Linked DNA regions of Schizosaccharomyces pombe. Changing the gene in region 3 together with the main gene of any one other region gives a genetic interaction. Each region holds a gene or a part of one and is shown on either strand. Other genes may lie near its edges.

The links.
Region 1: of pcr1 (region 3) and tup11, changing one suppresses a phenotype caused by changing the other (phenotypic suppression), as found in Schizosaccharomyces pombe (one study listed by BioGRID).
Region 2: of pcr1 (region 3) and spo5, changing one suppresses a phenotype caused by changing the other (phenotypic suppression), as found in Schizosaccharomyces pombe (one study listed by BioGRID).

The regions. Positions count from the first base shown.
Region 1 is NC_003424.3:298,778-305,738, forward strand, and holds tup11 (transcriptional corepressor Tup11), read right to left. Parts: upstream 3,020-6,961; 5' UTR 2,935-3,019; coding exon 2,811-2,934; intron 2,744-2,810; coding exon 2,659-2,743; intron 2,635-2,658; exon of another isoform or gene 2,487-2,634; coding exon 851-2,486; 3' UTR 501-850; downstream 1-500. Other genes in the region: SPOM_SPAC18B11.11 (GTPase-activating protein), read right to left, coding at 1-9; SPOM_SPAC18B11.09C (serine O-acetyltransferase activity), read left to right, coding at 4,384-4,454, 4,557-4,863, 4,939-5,016, 5,075-5,242; protein pat10, read left to right, coding at 5,686-5,758, 5,897-5,954, 5,994-6,083, 6,142-6,178, 6,223-6,252; rhp6 (ubiquitin-conjugating enzyme E2 2), read left to right, coding at 6,946-6,961.
Region 2 is NC_003423.3:2,532,462-2,538,754, reverse strand, and holds spo5 (meiotic RNA-binding protein 1), read right to left. Parts: upstream 2,606-6,293; 5' UTR 2,535-2,605; coding exon 2,305-2,534; intron 2,257-2,304; coding exon 1,913-2,256; intron 1,858-1,912; coding exon 728-1,857; 3' UTR 501-727; downstream 1-500. Other genes in the region: histone H3-H4 chaperone, CAF assembly factor (CAF-1) complex subunit A Pcf1, read left to right, coding at 1-436; ccr1 (NADPH-cytochrome p450 reductase), read right to left, coding at 3,256-5,292. UniProt on the Schizosaccharomyces pombe protein: RNA-binding protein which plays a role in sporulation. Regulates the progression of meiosis I and may function in the vicinity of the Mei2 dot.
Region 3 is NC_003424.3:4,249,813-4,257,845, forward strand, and holds pcr1 (DNA-binding transcription factor Pcr1), read right to left. Parts: upstream 3,789-8,033; 5' UTR 3,107-3,788; coding exon 2,591-3,106; 3' UTR 2,330-2,590; downstream 1-2,329. Other genes in the region: yak3 (aldose reductase ARK13 family YakC, implicated in cellular detoxification from family members), read left to right, coding at 1-276; rpl801 (60S ribosomal protein uL2), read right to left, coding at 845-1,606; L-azetidine-2-carboxylic acid acetyltransferase Aca1, read left to right, coding at 5,048-5,677; cyclophilin family peptidyl-prolyl cis-trans isomerase Cyp8, read right to left, coding at 5,917-6,340, 6,406-7,320, 7,461-7,672; translation initiation factor eIF2B delta subunit tif224, read left to right, coding at 7,924-8,033. UniProt on the Schizosaccharomyces pombe protein: Involved in regulation of gene expression for sexual development. Binds and activates CRE sites (cAMP-response elements, also known as M26 meiotic recombination hotspots).

The DNA of each region.
Region 1 (6,961 bases), 4.0 Mb from region 3:
AGCCTTCATAGCTTAGATATAAATCGATGCAGCAAACAACGACAATTTTTCTTTAACCCAAACGTAATATAGGTCCTGGGTTGGCACCGATTTAAGTATTAAGATTTTAAATATATTTAAAAAGTGCTAAATTAAAGATTTAATGAAGTAAACCCAAATTATAGACTGCTTAAGCCGTGGAGGATTATTATAAACTCCTGAAAAGATAGCCTTAAGAAACGTGCAGATATCGAACTGTAACGGATTGTAAAAGCACACCTCAATATAGCATCGATTAGGATTTATTCAATTTCTATGTTTTAGTCAATAAAATCGAAACAATGAGTCTTCTTCGCGTTGAAGAAGTCAGAAGATGGTTAATACATACATAATTTTAGCGAGTATATGATAAATCTGTTGGTGAATTTCGGAGTCAAGGTGGAGATATGCAAATTACTAAATACAAGAATAACCATTTAAAAAATGTTTAATCAACCACATGTATTTCAAGAATCTACATTGAAAAGTATTAAGTATTATCTCAAGTTATGCAACATTTATCATAGAACTAAAATTAAAAATTAAGGAATTTTTTATTAATTGTTTATTTTTTAAATAAAAAGTGTCTCAGTTAATTTATGAGAGAAGCCATTCTCCAAAATTAGTGACATTAAAAAACTGAGTGATGATTTGTCTATTGTGACCGTAAGTAAAGGAAATAATATTGCAAAAAAAATATGATACAAATTAAGGAAATATACCAGTGTAGTAATAGAGTTTACAAAATTTAGTTTGTAAACTTTGTAACCAAAAATCAATGCGGTTAACTATTTCCGAGAGCAAATAGTTATATGTAAACAGGAACAAAAATTCAAGGAGATGCAGGGTCAATTGACCATATGCGAGCACGTAAATCACCACTTCCCGAAGCAAATTGCCTACCATCTGGGCTAAAGCATACGGAAATAACTGAATTCTTGTGTCCTTGACAAGTGAGATAAGATTGGCCTGTTTGCAAATCCCAGAATTGCATACTTCTATCCTTCGATCCGCTTAATCCCCAACGGCTGTCGGGTGAAACAGCTACTGAAAGAACAAAATCAGTATGTCCTGTATAGGTGGCTTTGCAAATACCTTCAGGCTTAATAGCTGAAAGGCCAACTGAACGAGTTGCTTGTAATTCCCAGACTTTGATAGTCTTATCAAGACTTCCACTAAGAAGAATGCTGCTGTCGGGCGAAAAGGCAATAGAATAAACACTCTCCTTATGACCTTCCAATCGTTCAACCAAAGTACCCGACACAGACCATACTCGAATTATCTGATCTAGACTACCAACTGCAATGAATTGATCATTTGGAGAGATGGCTATTGCCGTCACACCATTCTCAATTTCTAACTTTAAAATACATTGACCTGTCTCCACATCCCAGAGTCGTGCAGTTCGATCGCCACTACCAGAGACGATGAATCGCCCATTATGGCTAAAATCTAAGGAATAGATATCTTGTTCATGACCTGAAAATACGTAACGAACTTTTTGAGTTGAGAGATCCCAGAGTTTTATTTGACGATCTTCTGTTCCCGTGACTAAATACTTACCATCAGGGCTGAAAGCAATGGTTCTCACATACAAATCACGGGAAGGATCAGGTGATTCTTCATGCAAAGTAAAAAGTTTTTTGCCAGTCTGAACATCAAAGACATTAGCGGCCTGGTTACAGCCAGTTGCTAAATACTTGCCATTGTTACTAAACTTAACGCAGCAAACAACACTGGGATGCTCTAGTGTGTGCACGAGATTAATATTAAAAACCCTTTTGCATGCTGGGTTATAAGTGACGTACCAACTCTGAGAAGTTGTCTTTCTAGCAGCTTCTGTATCTGAAACTGGAGCAATCTGTTCTCTTCCCTGATATTCTCCATCAGGACCCGCTTGGGATATAGAACCAGCATTCGCAGAAGCAGTCATAGAAGGTTCAGCCGAAGGAGTTGCTTTGGTAGGAATACGCGGTGGCTGGACATTCACAGCAGGTTTTGAAGTAGCACTTGGATTATAATAATTGGAAACACCAGGCAATTGAGGATTTGGTTGTTGAGAAACCTGATTTGCTCCGTAATTAACAGGAGGGATATATAAAGGTGTAGTACTAGGTAAATTGGATGTAGATATCGCGGGATTTTGAGAAGCAATTCCCTGATTAAAATTTTGCCCGCTAGAAGCCTCTACTGAAGGAGGAATTGGAGGCATCAATACTTCAGCAACATTATTTTGAGGATAAGCTGATTGGTGAATTGGAGGGATTTGCTGAAAGGCAGGTAGATGGTTACTTGGAGGCTGAGAAGTAGATTTGGTTTGAGAGGGATGTTCCTGATCAATATGGGTAACTTGATTATTAGAAGCGGCAAGTTCAGATCTTTCTCCACGATTTCTATAACTTGCGGTATTCGCTTCGACACCTAATTCTTCAAGCTCTCGCTTCAACTTGTTGATATCTTTTTCGTACCTATAAATGTTAGTAAATTGGTGAAGACAGATGTTATAAAGGTTTTTTTTTTTTTACTTCAAGCATATAAATCTCGAGCGACACGTATGCTATTATAAAATAATGATGAATTTCACAGAAAAGAAGTAGATACTATATAATCCCTCGATACCTTTAACATATAAAAACTTACGTTTCTCTAATAGATTTTTGTTTTTCATACATATCATCCACGGTTTTTCGGAACGCTTCAATTTCTTGAATTTGAGATTGTATCACTGCAATAGAACAGAATGTTAGTTTCCAAAAAATAGCTAATTTAATTTATTTTATTCAAACACGTACTAGAAGATTCATAGTCGTTTCCGCGCGCCTTGGACGCGAAGCTATGATGAGCCAAAGCATTGTATTCAGCCTTCAACGCATCCAGCATTTCTTGAACTTTCGTGGCATCCTCCACTGACGCCATTTTTTTTTTCAGTCAGACTTATTGCAAAAACTGAATCCGATTGATATACGCCCTTTTACAACAATAGCAACACTTGAATTGTGGTACAAGAATAAACTTGTGTTCTTGAACGTTTGTAGCAGCACTTTTATCGAGCGGCTCCTTGTGCTGCGCTAATCTTTAAATAGAGAATGTGGTGCTACATATTTTTGGTTGAGCAAGTATCACAAAATTAGTATGGCGTGTGTGTTGGCAACTTGTCCCAATTATTTTGAAATTCATTTGAATTATAGAGAAAAGCAATTCGAAACCCTTTACTGTTTGATTTTTTGTAGCGTTTATATTATTTTTTTGAATATAGATTTTCTTGCTTTTCAGTTGATGTTTGTTATAAAAAAATAGTTATAACTTTGAAACGTAGTGTAATTCATTTTTTTTTTATTGATGGAAAAATTTGTTAACCGTTTTTATATATCAATATAAAAAAATTAAAATTTGTGTTTAATCAATTTATTATCTGATCCTTGTTTAATTAGATTGTTTACCGACCTTTGTAAGACATTATTACAGTGAGTTTTATCTTGATAAGTATTAATTAAAAGTTATGATAGTATTTAACCCGTAAATTCACATTTCATTTGCTAATGACTCAGTTAATCATAAGTGACATTATTTGTTTAATGATGCGAAATTTGACGCACTTTACTGATATTAAAACATTGTTGGTTGTCTTAAAGATGCTTTTTTCATATAATCTAGTTATCATGAAGAAGGATGAAAAAATCCCATAGTTGAAATTTATTAACACTAAAGCAAAATGTTTAAGCGCAGCAAACCGAAGCCGTCAGAAATTGAGCATTTAATCTGACACGATATGCCATTTACACTTCAAGGGCGATTAATAAATACACTTTGGATTTATTTTTAAATCATATTTATTGCTTATTTACTTATCAATTTTTGTTTGATGTACTATTTAAGTTGTTTTGAATTTTTTTTTTATATGACATTAGTTTGGGATTACTACCCAGTTTAATCAGTTTAATGATACAGGAGGAAAGCAAGATTAAAAAAGGGACGGACAACGTTCATTGCATATCTTGTTATTGCTTGTCAGTTTACGGCCCTCAGCGTTTGTTAAGCTACACTAACTATTTACTTGTAACTTGATAAATTTTGGTATGCTGGTGGTAATACGAGTAGGGGCCAGACATAAAGCAATGCGACAATTAATGATATGTTGCATAGTGGGGCATAATGTAGTGTAACAGCTGACGCTATATATCATCGAGATGTTTTTACTTACGTTTTACAAACTATTTCACTAAAAAGTTTCCGTATAGTTTTATCAGCAATTTGTTAATATTGATATCAATACATATATATATATATATATAAGTCTATTTATACATCGATAACTCTACTAGTCCCATTGTCAATGCTAGTGAATATACTTGTTTTCCGACAGAAATGACTCGTACTCGTGTACAAAAAATGATACCGAAAACCATTGAATACCAAAAAATGATATCTGGTCAACCGTAAGGCTAATGCTTAAAACTTGTCGAGCTAATATATCATCTTCGTTGACATGTTTGAAGTCACATTGAACGCAGGGAGATATTCTAATTACTAAATAACAGGTACAAGGCTTACGACGAGGAGTTGACTCAAGCGAGATGTAATGCTAAAAAATTAATGCGAAGGTTTAATGACACTATGGGAGATTTGGAAAATGTAGGCCCAGCAGAATTGATTAAAAGACGAGCTGAACTGTTGGCTGAAGTTTTTGTATTTGACGAATCTTCAGCACCAGAGATTGAGCCACCTATGGCTTTTGATTACGGATTTAACGTTCATTTTGGAAAAAAATTCTTTGCAAATTATAATTGTACATTTCTAGATGTTGCCATAATTACTATTGGTAATAATGTAATGCTAGGCCCCAATGTATGTTTATATATATATATAGTTACTTTCAAGTCATTCATTCAAAAAATAAATATACTAATGGTGTCTTTCCAGGTTCAACTATGTACAGCAACACATCCCTTGGATTTTAAAGCAAGGAACTCCGGAATTGAATTTGGTTTACCAATTAACGTATGCGTTAGTCCAGTTATTGAAACATCTTACAACTAACAAACAAAATTTTATCAAGATTCAGGACAATGTTTGGATTGGTATGGGAGTTATAGTTCTCCCAGGTGTTACTATCGGGGAAGGCAGTGTAATTGGAGCGGGTGCTGTTGTTACAAAAGACATCCCACCTAATACGTTGGCTGTAGGATCACCTGCCAAACCTATTCGTAAAATTGAAAACGAGTGAACGAGTGTAATTTTTTTTTTTATTATTTCATCTAACGATTAAATGCTCTTTGAACTTCTTAAGTTCACCTGGCTTGGTTCCTAAATTTTTAAAATAGTATAAATAATATTATATTATGTTTGAGCTTTAAATTGTTATATAGAAGACTTAGAATGCTAAAAGAAATCCATTTCTCACTCGCCAAGTAGGATCAGTTTCCTCCTATGACTTGCTAAAGCCCCCACGTGGTACTGCAATCGATTTTAATTCTAATGCTTAGCCAAGTCTAAAATAGTTGAAATTCTTAGTGGGATAAGAACTCTTAACCCCCACGATATATTTGAATGCTAAATAACCTAACCTAAAACCATTTTACACATTTTATTACTAACTTCATTATATTCTTGTAGAGGAACCATCCCATTCACCAGTTCTGAAGTCTCGACAACGAAAATTCATAAAATATGGCGCCTGCAGAACTTAAACGACCTGATTTAATCGTTCCCTACAAAGCTAGAGTCAAAGCAAATGAAGAAGGTAAAGTAGAAAGCACTTTCAAATTGAACCCAATCGTGAGTTACGCTGATTTAATCGCTCAAGCTTTAGTTCATTGTGGAATATTTTAAATCCTTTCTTTCGTCAAATAATTTATTAAGTTTGCTAACCCTATTATAGTTGGCTTGAGTTTGGTAAGCACAGCCACGTGTATGGCTGCTTTATTTCTTCGTTTCAAGTATGTAAGATATTTTAGGATTTTCATGTTAACGAGAAGATTAATTGCATGGGTTGCTTTTATCCTAACCTTTTCAAATTTACTGAACGCAAATACGTCTCCCAGCTCATCTCCGACTTCAATGGCTTTGTAAGTAATCCTAATTCATTGCATTAATGTAGTTCTATGGATGTTAACATTTGATCAGTATGGGTATCGCGGCTCTTGTGTCAACATATTTACCGGTAAGTTGAATTTTTATATTTACTTTGTCGATTAACTTGTGCAGCAATTTTTAAATACTCCAAACAAAACTTAGTAATTTTTAAGTCAGTGAATTAATAAGAGTATTAAGCTGATTTTTTTCTGGATAATTAAATTTATGCACAATGTAAATATCTAATGGTGAAGAGTTCAGATACATTTCTAACTACCATTTCAATCACGTAGCAGACGCGTAAAAAATTGGCTGTTTGTGTTTTCTCATTGTTAAGCTAGTGAAAATGTAAATTTATTTCTTACATCCTGTTGCTCTTTCATTTTTTCTTCCTAATGTATTTTAGTTGCTTTTTTAAACCCAATGAGAACAAAGGCTTAAAGTAAATATATATAATTTTCACATGTTCAACAGTTTACCGTTAACAAATGCACGGACCTTGATTATGATTAATGGTTGAATGAAAAATATCAACTTTCCTTATCTTTAACTATAATTTAAATGAAGTAGTAGTTCATTAATACTAAAGCAGACTTGCATTGCAAATGCTGAACATTACTAAAAGGTTGGTCTAGTTATAAGGTAACTGAGCGTGCACTTTATTATTTTAACGTGTTGGGTGCGCCCCATTAATAATGAAATACTGCATATGAGTGAATGGTCCTACTATTGTTCCCTGCCCTTCTCCAACAACGCAAATCGGATATCCTAACTCGGTGTAATTCCAAGGCGATATCGATATTTGTGCAACTTTTTTTTAAAGTTATCACAAATAGAAGAGAGGTTGCTATAAAAATGTCAACGACCGCAA
Region 2 (6,293 bases), on a different chromosome or scaffold from region 3:
CGGCCCATTAGAGGTAATCGTAGAAGGTCCGGTTTGGGATTCAAAGTTTCTTCCTGACTTTAATTGCTTATCTTTAATTGAACCCATTAGTTCATTTTCAGCATCTACATATCTCCAAATTGATCCTAAAGAGGATTTATGGGCTTCTCAAGATACTGCTCCAGCGTCTAGTGGAATGACAATTGGACCTACCAGTTCACTTTCTGATGATTTACAAGTAAGGTTTCCTTCTGAAGATATACCCAAATTTATAGAATATGTCCGTAACTCTCATGACAACAAAGTATTCCTGATCGAGAATTTGAGGCACATGTTTCCTTACGTAACCAAAAATATTATCAGCGAAACTCTTGGAAAAGTCGCTGTGCGTAAAGGAAAATCAGTATCTGATGGTTGGATAATCAAGGAGAATTTTGCATCCCTTTTATCCTCTTAATTCACAGTGTGCAATTATCTTGAACACTCAAGGACTATTTATACCTCTCTCTTTTTATACGATTAAGCAAATATGTATAATATCATTCATTAATACTGTAGTGGTTTGACCTTTGTTATATAACCTGATAATAAATAAAAGAAAAAACATAGAAAGAAAGCTTTGGCCCTTAATTGTAAGCTTTGTCTAACAGGTTTTATGTTGGTTTAAGTTTGAGTATGTGATAAGTGTTTGAAAAGATTTCGATATTAGAGTTTGATGTTCAAGTAAATGCTGGAAAGATGTTTAAATTTAATTAGCAGCAGAAGTAGCGGGATGGGCATGATATGGCGTAGTACTTCTGCTGTTTTCATAGTTTGAGGGATAAACGGAATAAGAGGGATACATACTTTGCCAACCGTAAGTATCATAAGTGGGTGAATGTTGATAGACTGTGTTCGACTCCAATGGCACATACATTCCAACTTTAGAGGGCATAGAGTTATTTGCGAACTCCTCAACTTTGGAAAAAGCATTATTAGCTGTCATTCCCTTAGTTAAAACACTGTATTCACGAGCACGCCATAATCTTCTTTTCTGAGTCTGACCTTTAAACTTCTTCTGATCAGTGGAATCAGCAAAACGGATTTGTAATGGGGGTAAAGCAGGATCCAAGACAAAGTTATTAAATTTATTAATTATGTCTTCAGCCGTTTTACGATCTTGCATACGAGCAAACCCAACACCTCGAGATTGTTCCTTAGAGTCACGAAGTACGCGGTTTGATATGATTTTGCTGGGTTTAAACAATGTGGAAATATCACTTTCATTCCAATGAAGAGGAAGATTAGAAATATACAGATTGGTGCTTTCTGTGTCTTGTAGACTTTGAAGACGTGCACTGAAACTTTCTTTTGCAAATGAACACTGATATCCACATAAAGTCATGGCTGAAATGCAAATCAATGCAGATTTCTCTTCTTCAAAGCATGCAAACCCATATCCTTTACATAAATTCGTTTCCATATCAATTATTGCTTTGCTGCTACTAACTTTACCAAAACGATTGGTGTAAAGCAACAAATTTTCATCCGAAGTGTTGGGAGGTAAACCACGAATGTAAACATTCCGAGTACGAGAAGTGCTTTCCATGTTACTTTTTTTATTATCATGAGACATGGGAAACATGCTGGGAATGGCAGGAGGAATTGCAGGATGCAATCCAACCAGTTGAGAAAGGTAATTTGTATTCTCCTTTGTTGTACCGACACTCATTTCTTGATTAATGGCAGCGGGAATATTTTTTTGCCCTTGGGAAAAAGAAGGCATCGAGAGAGAAACTGAATTCGTAGGCACAGTCGCTGAAGGAACTGGCGCGAGATATGTTGGTTGATTGACAATATGAAGTCCCGGCTGATTTAAAGAGGGCATTTGAGGATATACTAAAAGACGAAAAGTTTGGTAAGTATTAGTTTTTTCATAAGCTGTGTATCATACCATTCTGAACATATGGTTTTAAATACTGATGAGTATTGTTAACATGATAAGGGTGAACAGACTGATGAGTCTGCCATTGTGAACCATAGCAAGGAGCTACAGAATTGAATGCAGGACGGAATCCAGAGACACCCGGTCGATTGTTGGAAATGGCTTGTGACTGTGCATAGTATGACGGATAATAAGAGTTGGCATAGTAGGCGTTTTGTTGTGGCAGTGTTCCATTATTAATATTGTTATTTGCATATGAAATAGGATCGGTTGTCATAACGGTTGATTGATCAGCAGCACGCCTATTTAAATACGCGGCCTGTGCTGCTGTAGAATAAGTATTGTTTTTTATACTATATTCCTAGTTAGTATTACATTACACATCTGTAATAGCCCTTTACCTGTTTGGCTTCTTGGAAAGCCCTAACTCGCTAGAACCAGGCGTTGCGTTTGGGCTTGTTCCTGGTGTTAATAGTATAATTGTAGAGTCCAATCCTTCACTTTTTTTCGTGTCATTGACATCCACAGTTGTTTGACTTGTTGGAGTAGACAATTCGGTAGTGGATAATGGATCACGAGAAGGAGAAGACATTAATTGTTTTTGTTTTTGAGGCGTAATTATTCCATTCATCGCTCTTATATGCTTTAAGTAAATAATTTTTAAATTATGTATACTTTAATGTTTGAATATATGTTAAAGGTAAGTTTTTGAGCGCGCGAAATCTGTTAATAAACAAATCAAGGATAGCATTGTGTTGCATTAGATTTGATAACGTAGAAAAAAAATACACTTAAAGGCTCAGTTTTATTATACAGTTAGGATACATGTATTAATTATGCTTGTACTTTTGGAAACTTAACTTTTCCGCATATTACTCAATGTTTTGCGTTGACAAGTACACATTGACCGAGGATTTAACTTATAGCATCCTGTACTCTAACTTGATGCGTGTATTTTTAAAGCAAAAAAAGAATTATCAAATACTTTCTATTGTATGTAAATTGATCAAACATTCGCAATCGCCTTAATTATTGAAGTGCAATGAAGTCGACTGCCAGTGTTTACTTTGTTACCCAGCTTTAAGTCGGTTTAGGTTTTTCAATCATGACAAACACAGCACTTTGTGTAGATTCGCATTTTCGGTAGACATTTTTGAGCAGTAAGAAATTCAAGTTGGCAGTTTATTTTTGATATTATAACGTTACAGAGTACTGTTCGTTAGTTGCTACAAAAACTATGTTTTCTATAGATAAAAATACCGAGTGGAATAATGATTGTATTAAACTATTTCTAAGATGAAAAGGCATCATTAAGTCTTGAAGTAATCGCAAAGTCTGGATAAATTCCAAACTTACCAGGTATCTTCAAAAAATCTATTGTCATCTCGAAGAGCTTTAACGGCTTTCATACCGTCAACATCAACAGTGGTCAGAATAGAAGCCAATGCATTCACAACATCTTTAGCCATATGATCAGCATCACCGCAGATATAAAAAGCAGCCCCTTCTTCTACAAGTTTAGCAATGGTATCACTGTGCTCTAAAAGACGGTGCTGAACATAGATTTTATGATCTTGCTCACGGGAAAATGCGGTAATCAGTTCAAAAGAGTCTTTCAAGACATCTTTGTATTGTTGCCATTCTTCCTTATATAAAAAATCCTTGTCAGAATATTGGCAACCATAAAATAAAAGTGTTTTTGCTACTTTAACTCCTTTAGAAGCTAAATTAGCCCGTTCCATCACAAAACCGCGGAATGGGGCTACACCAGTACCCGGGCCTACCATTATTATGGGGACATCGGGAGGAGCCAATCGAAAAGTAGATTTCTTTACAAACATCGGAATTTTTCCGGTCCAGTTTTTACGAGGACCCTCAAGGGTATATTCCAAACCATTTGGATGTGGAATTTTTTCACCGTGCATATGACGACAATGTGCCAACAAATAATTAGTAGTTAGTCCATAAAAGATATGATTCTTATCAGTCCATTCTTTCTTGTCAACTACCGCTGTAACGTGAACTTTGTCAGGATGCACTACACTGCTCGAGGAAATCGAATAGTAACGCGGTTTCATGTGTGCCATATTTTCCAATAGCATTGAGAATGGAAGTTTTGTAAATGGAGCGTCAGGAGAAACACGACGAAGGACTTGAGCAAGGTTTAGGTGCAAGTCTACAACGTTCTTCTTAAAGTAGTCATAATCGTTGCCTAATTTCTCGAGTTCTTGCTTAGATTCTGGTGTAGGAGCGAAAGGAGCAATAAAAGAAAGCAGTTGCCTGGAGACGATACCACATATTTCATAGTAGTAGCGAAAAACAGTGTCATAGGTAGTAGGACTTAAAACAGGAGCCTTATCGAGAGTATCGATAGGTTTAACAATTATTACAGTATCCCTCTTCTCTTTGAGACCGAGAACTTCGAGAAGATCATCAACAGCTTGACTAGGATTCATAGGACAAATAGAAGCGTAATCACCTGTTTGATATCGCATACCAGAGTCTGCGATATCCAACTCTAAATGTAAGCAATTACGACTTCCAGATTTGAATAGCTCAAGAGATCTGACAGGAGAAGAGAAAAATGGATTAGCTTGAGAACGTGGAGCTTTCGATGCAACATTTCCTTTCAATTGCTGACGACTTGGTTCTCCCAAAAAGACAGTAGAACTAGTGTTGGAAATTTCAGGCTTCTCAATAACTTCAAACATAGGATTGTATTCCTTGTGGACTTCTTGCAAATGGAACAGCTTACCTATCTCAGGTAAAGTATCATCCTTCCATTGTAAATAGTCCTCTTCAAGCATACCAGCGGCATCGTCGCCCAAACCTAGATTGCCCACACGAGTAGCGCCTAAACGAGTCATTGCAGCATCTACCTTTTTAGCCATTGCGTTATAATACTCATAGGTATGATTTCCAAGGCCAAAAATTGCATAACGAATTCCTTCGAAGGGAGTATCTTCAATGCCTTTTCCACTTGAAAAAACGGTATCATCGCCCTCAAGAAGTTGCAAAAAGGCCTCCGCATTGTCCGTAGGTTCACCTTCACCGTAAGTTGCGAGAAAGAATACCAATAGTTTTGATCTATCAAAGTTGTCCAAGTCGGTTAAATCATAGTTCTCAAGATCGAAAACCATATTGGTAAGATTGAAGTTTGCCTTTGCTTCCGTTGAAAAACGGTAGGCAAAGTCCTCAGCGGTACCAGTTTGAGATCCAAAGAAAACCGCGGCAGTGAGCTTTTCGGCCTCCATCAACTCGACAATACTGTCGGTAGCCACGACTCGCCTCTCAGGAGCCTTTGGCTTGTTGAGAAAATTGTTATAAATAAAGTAACACAAGCTAAGGATCAAAATAATGACCAGCAATACATATTCATAAGTCTTCATAATGCAAAAAATATAATAACCAAATTTTACGAGTGTTCAACTTCGGGATTTAATCCGCCTTTTATTCCAAGGGTAAATGTGCGTGTAAAAAACGAGTGAGTCAACAGAATTGTCTGATGATAGGCAGATGCGAAATAAAGAGCGAAACAGTACTATGCTTTTTTAGCTTGAACCACTTTGAAGCAGATACACTAAAGCGCGAGACAATAAAAATGAAGAAACTCAAACAAGGGTTTCTATAGCCTCTTAAACAAAAAGTCAAGTATTTATCCAAATACTCTAAAGAATCTATAAAAATCAAGATGAAGTATGTAGGCTAAGATACTTAATTAATGAAACAACTGCGCTTTATATGATGAGCACAATAACCATGCCAATTGAACAATCAAATAGATGCTAGAAAGCTTCTAAAGTAATTGACTTCAAAAAGCAATCCTTTCGGGAGAAAAGCTAATTGTTTTGGCAAACGCTAATACCTGGTCGCTGGTAACTCCTGCACCTATATACTGCTATAATATAAAAAAAAAAAATATAGTTCGATTTTTCAATGATTACTTTTTGAAAATTTCTATTAATTAATAAAAAACTATTTAATAAATTCATGTATTAATTTTGGTTAATTAGCATGTTCAACGAAGTTAAAGTTTGACAGATATAGATATCCAACATATGTAGTAAGTATGGATGGAGAGATAAAAATGGGAATGGGAATGAGAGTATTTTTAGATAGAAATAGTGTGACGGCAATCGTACAATAGTTAATTTATTGTGGCAAGCCATCGCAATAACAAAATACCTCGGGAAGAGAATTAAGCGCAATACGAAATTATGGTAAATCGGCGATTCTACTAGTAGGTGTTTATTGTTTTACTAATTATAATGACGATCAGTAAAAAGTAGGTGAGCTTTGAAAAAACCGTTGCTATACACTTTAGGATTTATTTTGACGAACCAATTAATATGGCTACCGTAGTACGGTACATTTTGAACCATTCAGTAAG
Region 3 (8,033 bases):
ACAAAGATTGAAAAAATTGCCACTGCCAACAATATCACACCTGGCCAGCTTAGTTTGGCTTGGTTGTTAGCCCAAGGTGACGATATTCTTCCCATTCCTGGTACCAAACGTGTTAAATACTTGGAGGAGAACTTTGGCGCTCTCAAGGTTAAATTATCCGATGCCACTGTTAAGGAAATTCGTGAAGCTTGTGACAACGCTGAGGTAATTGGTGCTAGATATCCTCCTGGTGCTGGATCCAAGATTTTCATGGATACCCCTCCTATGCCCAAGTAGATTTAGTCTTTCTCGTATATGGTTTTAAAATTGTGCATGTTTATAGTTACCTTCATTTATGCTGGAAGAAATGAAATGAATTTTTGTTAGTTGTGCATTGTCATACATCGAGGAAGTGTACAGATTTCCAATTTTCAATGATTGTAGCAGAATGCCGAAATTAACATACTAAAGTATCCGTAACAACTGATAGTTTATAAACTTAAAAGTCATGAGTTAAATGCATTACGAAACTAGCCCACGGTACTAATGCCATGAAATTATGAACAATCGCCGGCAAGTATTCTAGTACTCTTGGCTGCTAAAAAGCCGGATTTAAGTGCACTACACAAAACAGTTAATCAAGTTTTGAAAATTTGATCGTTATTAATAGCATAGTACATTGAGAAACTCTTTGACAATTAAATTGGATGTTTACATGTGGGTTTACAAGCTTAATATGCTCTTGGGTTACGCATACACCATACCTACCAAGACTACAACGAAGCAAATCTACTCACTACTAAAGACTATCAACACATTTTCACACTGTTTACTGCCAGAAAATATATATTTTGATTGAGGAGGTCTAATTTTCGACAGCAGCAGCACCACGCAAGAGACCAGTTCTGCGAGCGGCAATGAGACCAACCTTTTGACCAGGAGCGGATTGGCGAGGAACAGTGGTAGAGTGACCAACGTGTTGATGGTTACCACCACCGTGAGGATGATCGACGGGGTTCATAGCAACACCACGAGTACGAGGCCAGCAGTTGCGCTTAACACGGTATTTGTGGAAAGCACGACCAGCCTTGAGCAAAGGCTTGTCAATACGTCCACCACCAGCGACAATACCGACAACACCACGAGCAGAAGAGGGGACAACCTTTTTGGCGCCAGAGGGCAACTTAACACGGGTCTTGCCAGTGTCAACATCATGTCCGACAATGATAACGTAGTTACCAGAAGAACGACCTAATGCACCACGGTCACCAGCCTTCTCCTCAACGTTGGAGATGATAGTACCCTCAGGCATCTCACCAACAGGCAAGACATTACCAACGGTCAAAGCAGCGTTCTTACCGCAGTAGACGAATTGGCCAGTGTACATACCCTCGGTAGCGACGAAGGTCTCAACATCGGTTCTGTAGTGATAAGGGTTACGGAAAGCAACCTTGGCCAAAGGAGCACCGCGACCAGGGTCGTGAATGATCTTTTGAACAACACCACGAATGTATCCGTGACGTTCAGCAAAGTCCAAGGTACGGAGCTGAGCGGCACCCTTACGGAGGCGGGTATGAGCCTGGAAAATTCCTCCACTCTTTCTTTGTGCTCTAATAACACGACCCATTTCTGGTGTTTTGGTTGTTGGAGAATACGGTATTGAGGTTGCAAATTCAAGTGGTGAATTGTTGTAAAATGTGACTGTTTTCGGTCATCCAAAATTTTTTGACTTAAGTATTATGCATTTCGTTAATGGAAAGCCTAACGAGAAAAAAAATTGGTGCGAAATCATGTGAATAACGAGATGCATGTAATTTACCGTACCTCCCTAAATTCTTAGGAGTGCTATACTGTTGAGAGCAGTAGAAATGGAACAGATTGGATAAATGAGATAAATTGTAATAACGTGAATATTTATTTATTTACATAATGAATGCAGTTGGGAAATTAAAGAAAGTGATGCTTTAACGCAGACACTTCTTTTGCATCATGATACACGGATTGTGGTATAAATAACTGAAAGAAAAAAAGAGACATTCTACTGTTTACAAATAAAATCAACAGCATACCACAGTTGCTCCAACCAGAGCTTTTTAAAAAAAAAAACCAAATTAATAGCTTAAGATCTTTTTTTCAGTTTGCCAAATGAAATTATAAATCTGTACATTTAGAAAGAAGAACATTTTTTATGTTTTAGGTAACTGACGAGAATAGGCAATCTGGCAATAGTTCAAGAAATCAAATCAAATACATCGAAGAAGTAAGTGGAGATGTAGCAAGCGCAAAGTCATACTTCAAAGAAGTTTATAAGCATCGTAAAGTTATTTTCTTTTCACATTTCATAAAGACAAATATTTTGAAAACCCGGCGAGGAAATTCGAAATAATAATAGATAAAGGTCATAACAAAGAAAACGTCTGTGCAAAAAAATAATAAGGACAGAAATTTGAAAAGAATTCCATATGCATCGGTAATTCAACACTTAAAAACGCCCGACTGTCATCTAGGAGAGAACATTAGGCTAAAATAGGAGCCATAAATCTACATGCAACATCACATTAAAATCAATTGCTTTATTGTAAAGGGGGGTAATGAAAACAAATGTTCTTTTTCAGATGGGCCCACCAAGGGATCTAGGAAGCCCGGCTGCTGAGAACATATGTTGCTGGACATCATCGGAATTAGGCTGCTGAGAAGAAGGGGGCATTTGAGGGTGTTGATTTGGAGGGAGACCCTGCAATGATGGATGCATTTGAGTAGGGCTAACGGAAACCACAGATTCAAGCATGTTATCACCAGGAGGGGGTTGTACCGGCCGGTAAGCCATATGTTGAGAGTGGAGAGCATTGTGAGCAGTTTGAAAGTCTGTTAGGACAGAACGAATCTTTACACTACACTGACAACCCTGATGGGCAAGTAATTGGCTTTTCAGCCGAAAAGCCTCCTGTTGCAACTGAGACAGCAATAACTGAAGACGCTTGGATTGCTCAAAGGCAGCATTGGCAGTTTGCTCTAATTCTTTAATCCACTCTTTCTTTTTCTGGCGAAATTTAGAAGCGGCAATGCGATTGCGCTCCAGAATTCGGCGACGCTTTTCATCATCAACTTCTTTTTTTTTGGCAGTCATCTTAAATAATCAATGTATAGAAAAGGGGGAATCAGATGATCACAAACAAAAATATAACAAAGGAAACAAAGGGGGAGATGGGAAATTGAAATGAAAAAAAAAGTAAGAACGAAAAAAGAAATACCCTAAAGGATATATTTTAATTTAAAGGAAACTCCTACTTGGTGAATACAACACGCAGTAAAGAATTAGCACGACACACGCGCGAAATCAGGAGGAAGCAAATTAGACGGAGATAGCCAGTTTCTAAAGGAATACAGAAGAATGACAAGACGTCAAGAAACGTCAATTCTATAGAAGCGCTAGTCTTCTAAGATTAAAAACACACACGTGGGGGAATTAATTCGTAAGTAAACCGACCCCTAAAATTTTTTGTAATCTCACGACACACGTCAAATGTACAGCGCACACGTTGACCCAAAATTAACTAACAAAGGAGATCCCAAACGACTTCAATAAATACGTTGATATGTTATACTCTCTGAAAAGTTATACAAACACTTGATTTGCAAGGATGTCTCACCAAACTACCAAATTAACTGTTTAATGACCCAGAAAAAGCGAATCCACTGTGAAAACCGAATAAATTAAGAAAATTTAGTATTTAAAAATCAAATTTTAACAACTCTGTAGAATGAAAGGATTTTACCCTTTTACAATGGTATAAGCTACAATGGACCATAGACGGAAGTGGTCAAAGAGATGATTATATAGGATGATCAATGCTCGATGCATGATGTCATCGACAAGGAGGCTGTAATTATATCGATAAACAGAATAACGAGAGTTAGTGAAATTTAATACATGGCCGATTTTGATGTAAATAAAGGTTAGTGGACTTGCGAAGAAAGACAGACACAATTGAGAAAATAAAAAGAAAAATATTTTAAAAAAAAGAAACAATACTAAAGAAAATTGACTTGCAAATGAATTGTGAGAGACGTGGATACAAAAGACGAAAAAGCATCGGTGAATTTAAAAGAACCAAAAATGAGGCGAACAATTTTAATTTGGTTGATGGAAATGAATCATTTGATTAAAAGTGAAAATTTTTAAATTATTTTAGAAATGTAAATATTTTATCCTTGTGCGAACGTAAAATTGGTAAAATAAATTTTAAAGATTTTAAATAATTAAAAAACTCTAGCAAAAATATAGTCAATTCCAAAGTAACTGCATTTTAATTCGTTTTATTATTAAAACAGGAGGTTCAGGTACTGCACTTAATATAAATATATTAATTGAATTGTGTTTTTTTGGAATTTGTATAATTAATTATTTTCCAATACCACTAACCTAAAAATTTCGCATCTTCACTTTATACTGTACTTCATTATTTTTATTATCATCTCACATGTATTCTTCACTATTTAATAAACAATAAAAGAATATGAGAAATTGCAATGAGTGAATAAAGAAAAGACAATTAATATCGGATTCTTCATTCGTTAACAAGGAAGAAAGACTTAATCTATAGCACCGAAATATTAAACCGTTTCCATTAGCTTGATGTAGAAGTCGATCTAATGTTTCGCAAACCGAAAATACACAGACATGAATATGTACAAGCATTAACCAAGCATACAGAAAATCGAAAATCATCTAATACATGAATAATGAGAGCTTTATTACTTCGTCTCGCTTTCATATTCTAAAATACTTAATTATTTGCTTCTAACAAATAACGCTTTTTACCGTACTCTAGGAATTACTTGCAACAGATTTCTTCCTTGCATATTTTTAATCATTTGATTTATCTCTTCGACTTGATGATTTTATCACATTATTTCTGTATATCATACAGTTGTTTCCTGTTGTATATCAAGATGGCATCTTGATGAGTTTGAGTGATGATAATTTATCTATGTGTTTGTCGCTTAAATTATCTACTCCACATGGCTATAAAATCCCTTTAATTTTGTTCATAATCCATATCCCAACATGAAGGATCCAAATACTATTCCTCCATGGAGATGTACTGATTTTAATGCTTGGTGCATAGCCGTTGATAAATCTACAAACGTTAAGAACAAAGAAGAATTACTCAGTACCTTGACTTATTTCATCAACTATGAAATAGAGATGGGACAGACTTATCCAATCGACATTAAAATGACTCGCAATGAAGCGGAAGACTTTTTTTTTAAATTTTGTACTGTAATCTGTGTTCCTGTTGAGAGTGAGACATCACCTGCTCCAGATTTGGCTACGGCTTCAATTGACTGGAAAACGAGCTTACTCGGTGCCTTCTACATTAAGCCTAACTATCCCGGTCGATGCTCTCATATTTGTAATGGTGGATTTTTGGTTTCACCTAGTCACCGGAGCAAAGGCATTGGGCGTAATTTGGCCAATGCCTATTTGTACTTTGCTCCTCGAATTGGTTTCAAATCAAGCGTGTTTAATCTCGTTTTCGCTACCAACATAAAGAGCATTCGACTATGGGAAAGACTAAATTTCACACGAGCCGGTATTATCAAAGATGCTGGTAGACTTAAGGGTCATGAGGGATACGTCGACGCTTACATATACCAATACCATTTCCCTTCACTTGAAGATGCCTTAAAATAAACTTCCTTTACTTTTTCACAAATTTGCAATTCTCTCCTTTCAATTTTGGATGCCACACTTTCGATAGCAGTTTGTTTTAAGAGGCAAAGGTTCAATATTTGCTGCCTGCGAAGCTTCTTACTGTACAACAAAATGTTCAATAAATGATATGATATTAAAAAACCTTATAAACTCAGAAATAATTTAACAAGTCCCGTATATTAAGTTGTTTGGTATATATTTCGTTTGACTTAGTAAGTTTACCATGCGTCAAAATTTCCAAATCCTGTGCGTGCTTTTTTCTTTTTGGGATTTACAGTAGAAGTGAATGTCTTTTCTTCAAGTGATACTTCCTTTTTTAGATATTTTCCAACAGACGCATTTAGAGAATGATCCGTAGAAGACGCCGATAAATCCCTCCCAGTCCAAGAAGTGCGGTCTAAATTATTTTCCTCTTCTTCTTCTTGTCTTTTTCGTTTCTCCTTCTCCCGCTCATCTTTTTTCCACTCTTCGAATGGGTCTACAAATATTATGATGTCTTCAAGCTTGATTGGTAACTTGGGGTGATCATTACTGTTGGTAGGGACTTTTTCAAGAGCATCCAAAACATTTAAACCACCGACAACTCGACCAAATATTGTATGTTTATTGTCCAAATGTTTCGCTGGTCCATACAATATAAAGCTATAAATCAGGTTAGCACTTGCATTTCTTTGAAGCTTTTAAAAAATAGAGAAGAAAACACTTACAATTGACTTCCATTGGTATTTTTTCCACGATTGGCCATAGATATAATTCCACGATCGTCATGCTTTAAAGGGTTACAAAACTCGTCCTTAAACGGCTTGCCCCAAATACTTTGACCACCTCTTCCAGTTCCACTAGGATCACCTCCTTGAATCATAAATCTAGCAATATTGCGATGAAAAATTGTATTACGATAATAGCCCTGCTTGGCAAGCTGGACAAAATTGTAAACAGCATGGGGTGCATAGTCTGTATGCAACTCAATATTAATTTCTCCGTGATTAGTAACAATACGCGCGTATCCTTTGTGCTTGATCCGCGTATGGTTAAGCATATAATCTTCTTCAGCAATAATTGCTCTTTCATTCTTCGTTACAGGAGTAAATGATGTGGAGGTTAAGGAAGCTGCAGCATAACCAGTTGTATGGGATGCGCGATGAATTGGCATATCAGAAGCTATAGATTTAGATGAATCGAGAGAATGCGATAACTCAGGTGATGAAGTTGACTCCGTTGACTTGGCGCGAGATGCTTGTAAAGCAATTTTGGCCTTGGTTATTTTTTCATCTCTTGCGGTTTCCTTTTGTTTTTGAATGGCCGAAAAATCTCGGTTCTCAACGTTATGAGGATCCTGGATGGTAATTATGTCGTCTCTGGTAAATTGCTCTTCGTTCACGAGATCCCTCCAATGTTTTGGTTTTATGTTCAAACGTTCAATAGTATCCCAAGAAAAACAATTCCCTGTAGAACGGATAGCCACGATGTGTGAAAAGCGCGTAAAGCTTTTCATCGTAACTGGATCACAATACTCTTCAGCACTGTTTTTTGCAAACTTGAGCTTTATTAAATCTGACATTGATGCCTTTTGTCCATTAATAGGATTAGTACCATGTTTTCGAAGCCAAGGAACAATAAATCTAACACATGTTAGCGCTCATCACCACTTTTTTATGAAGAATGAAAGATTTCCAAAAGCAACTAGATTAGTTGGTAAACAAATATCATTTAATACCAAAAAATTTGCTTCGAAACTCACATCTAATAGTGATTTACATACCTAAAATCGAAAATAATGGCTTGCTTGGTTTCATCCACAAGACAACAAGGATGGTTAAAGGGCTGCAAGGAAAGAGAGCAATAATTAAAAGGAAGTTGTTTGTAACTTGTGGTACTGTTCTTTTGGGCTATGCCACTCATACCACCATGCCACCCATGCACACCCGAATGCTCAGTTTGTGTAATGTACAGTTTGTCTGTATTTTTGCCCATTCCTGTTAATAAATATCATAAATACGTTTGTACGGTTATAAAAAATAAAAATAAAAGTTCTTAATTTTATGATATTTTAAGGCGATAAAGTAATTAATTTCTAGTAATATATATGCGAACTACAAGTATACGTTGTCGAATAGCGTTGGTGTAGTAAGGGTAAGGTCACTAAGCGCACGTTGGGTGTTATAGCTAAACTCATCTACGCTTCTACCAAAACAAACCAATTTAATAGAAATATTGATTTTCTGATGGGGTTCTCAGCAGAACAAGCAAAAAAGGATGGGAAGGATCAAAGCCCTGTTAGTGAAAGCTCTAGTGTGGGAGGAACATCTCCAGCTACAGCTTCTTCTGTCGTTTC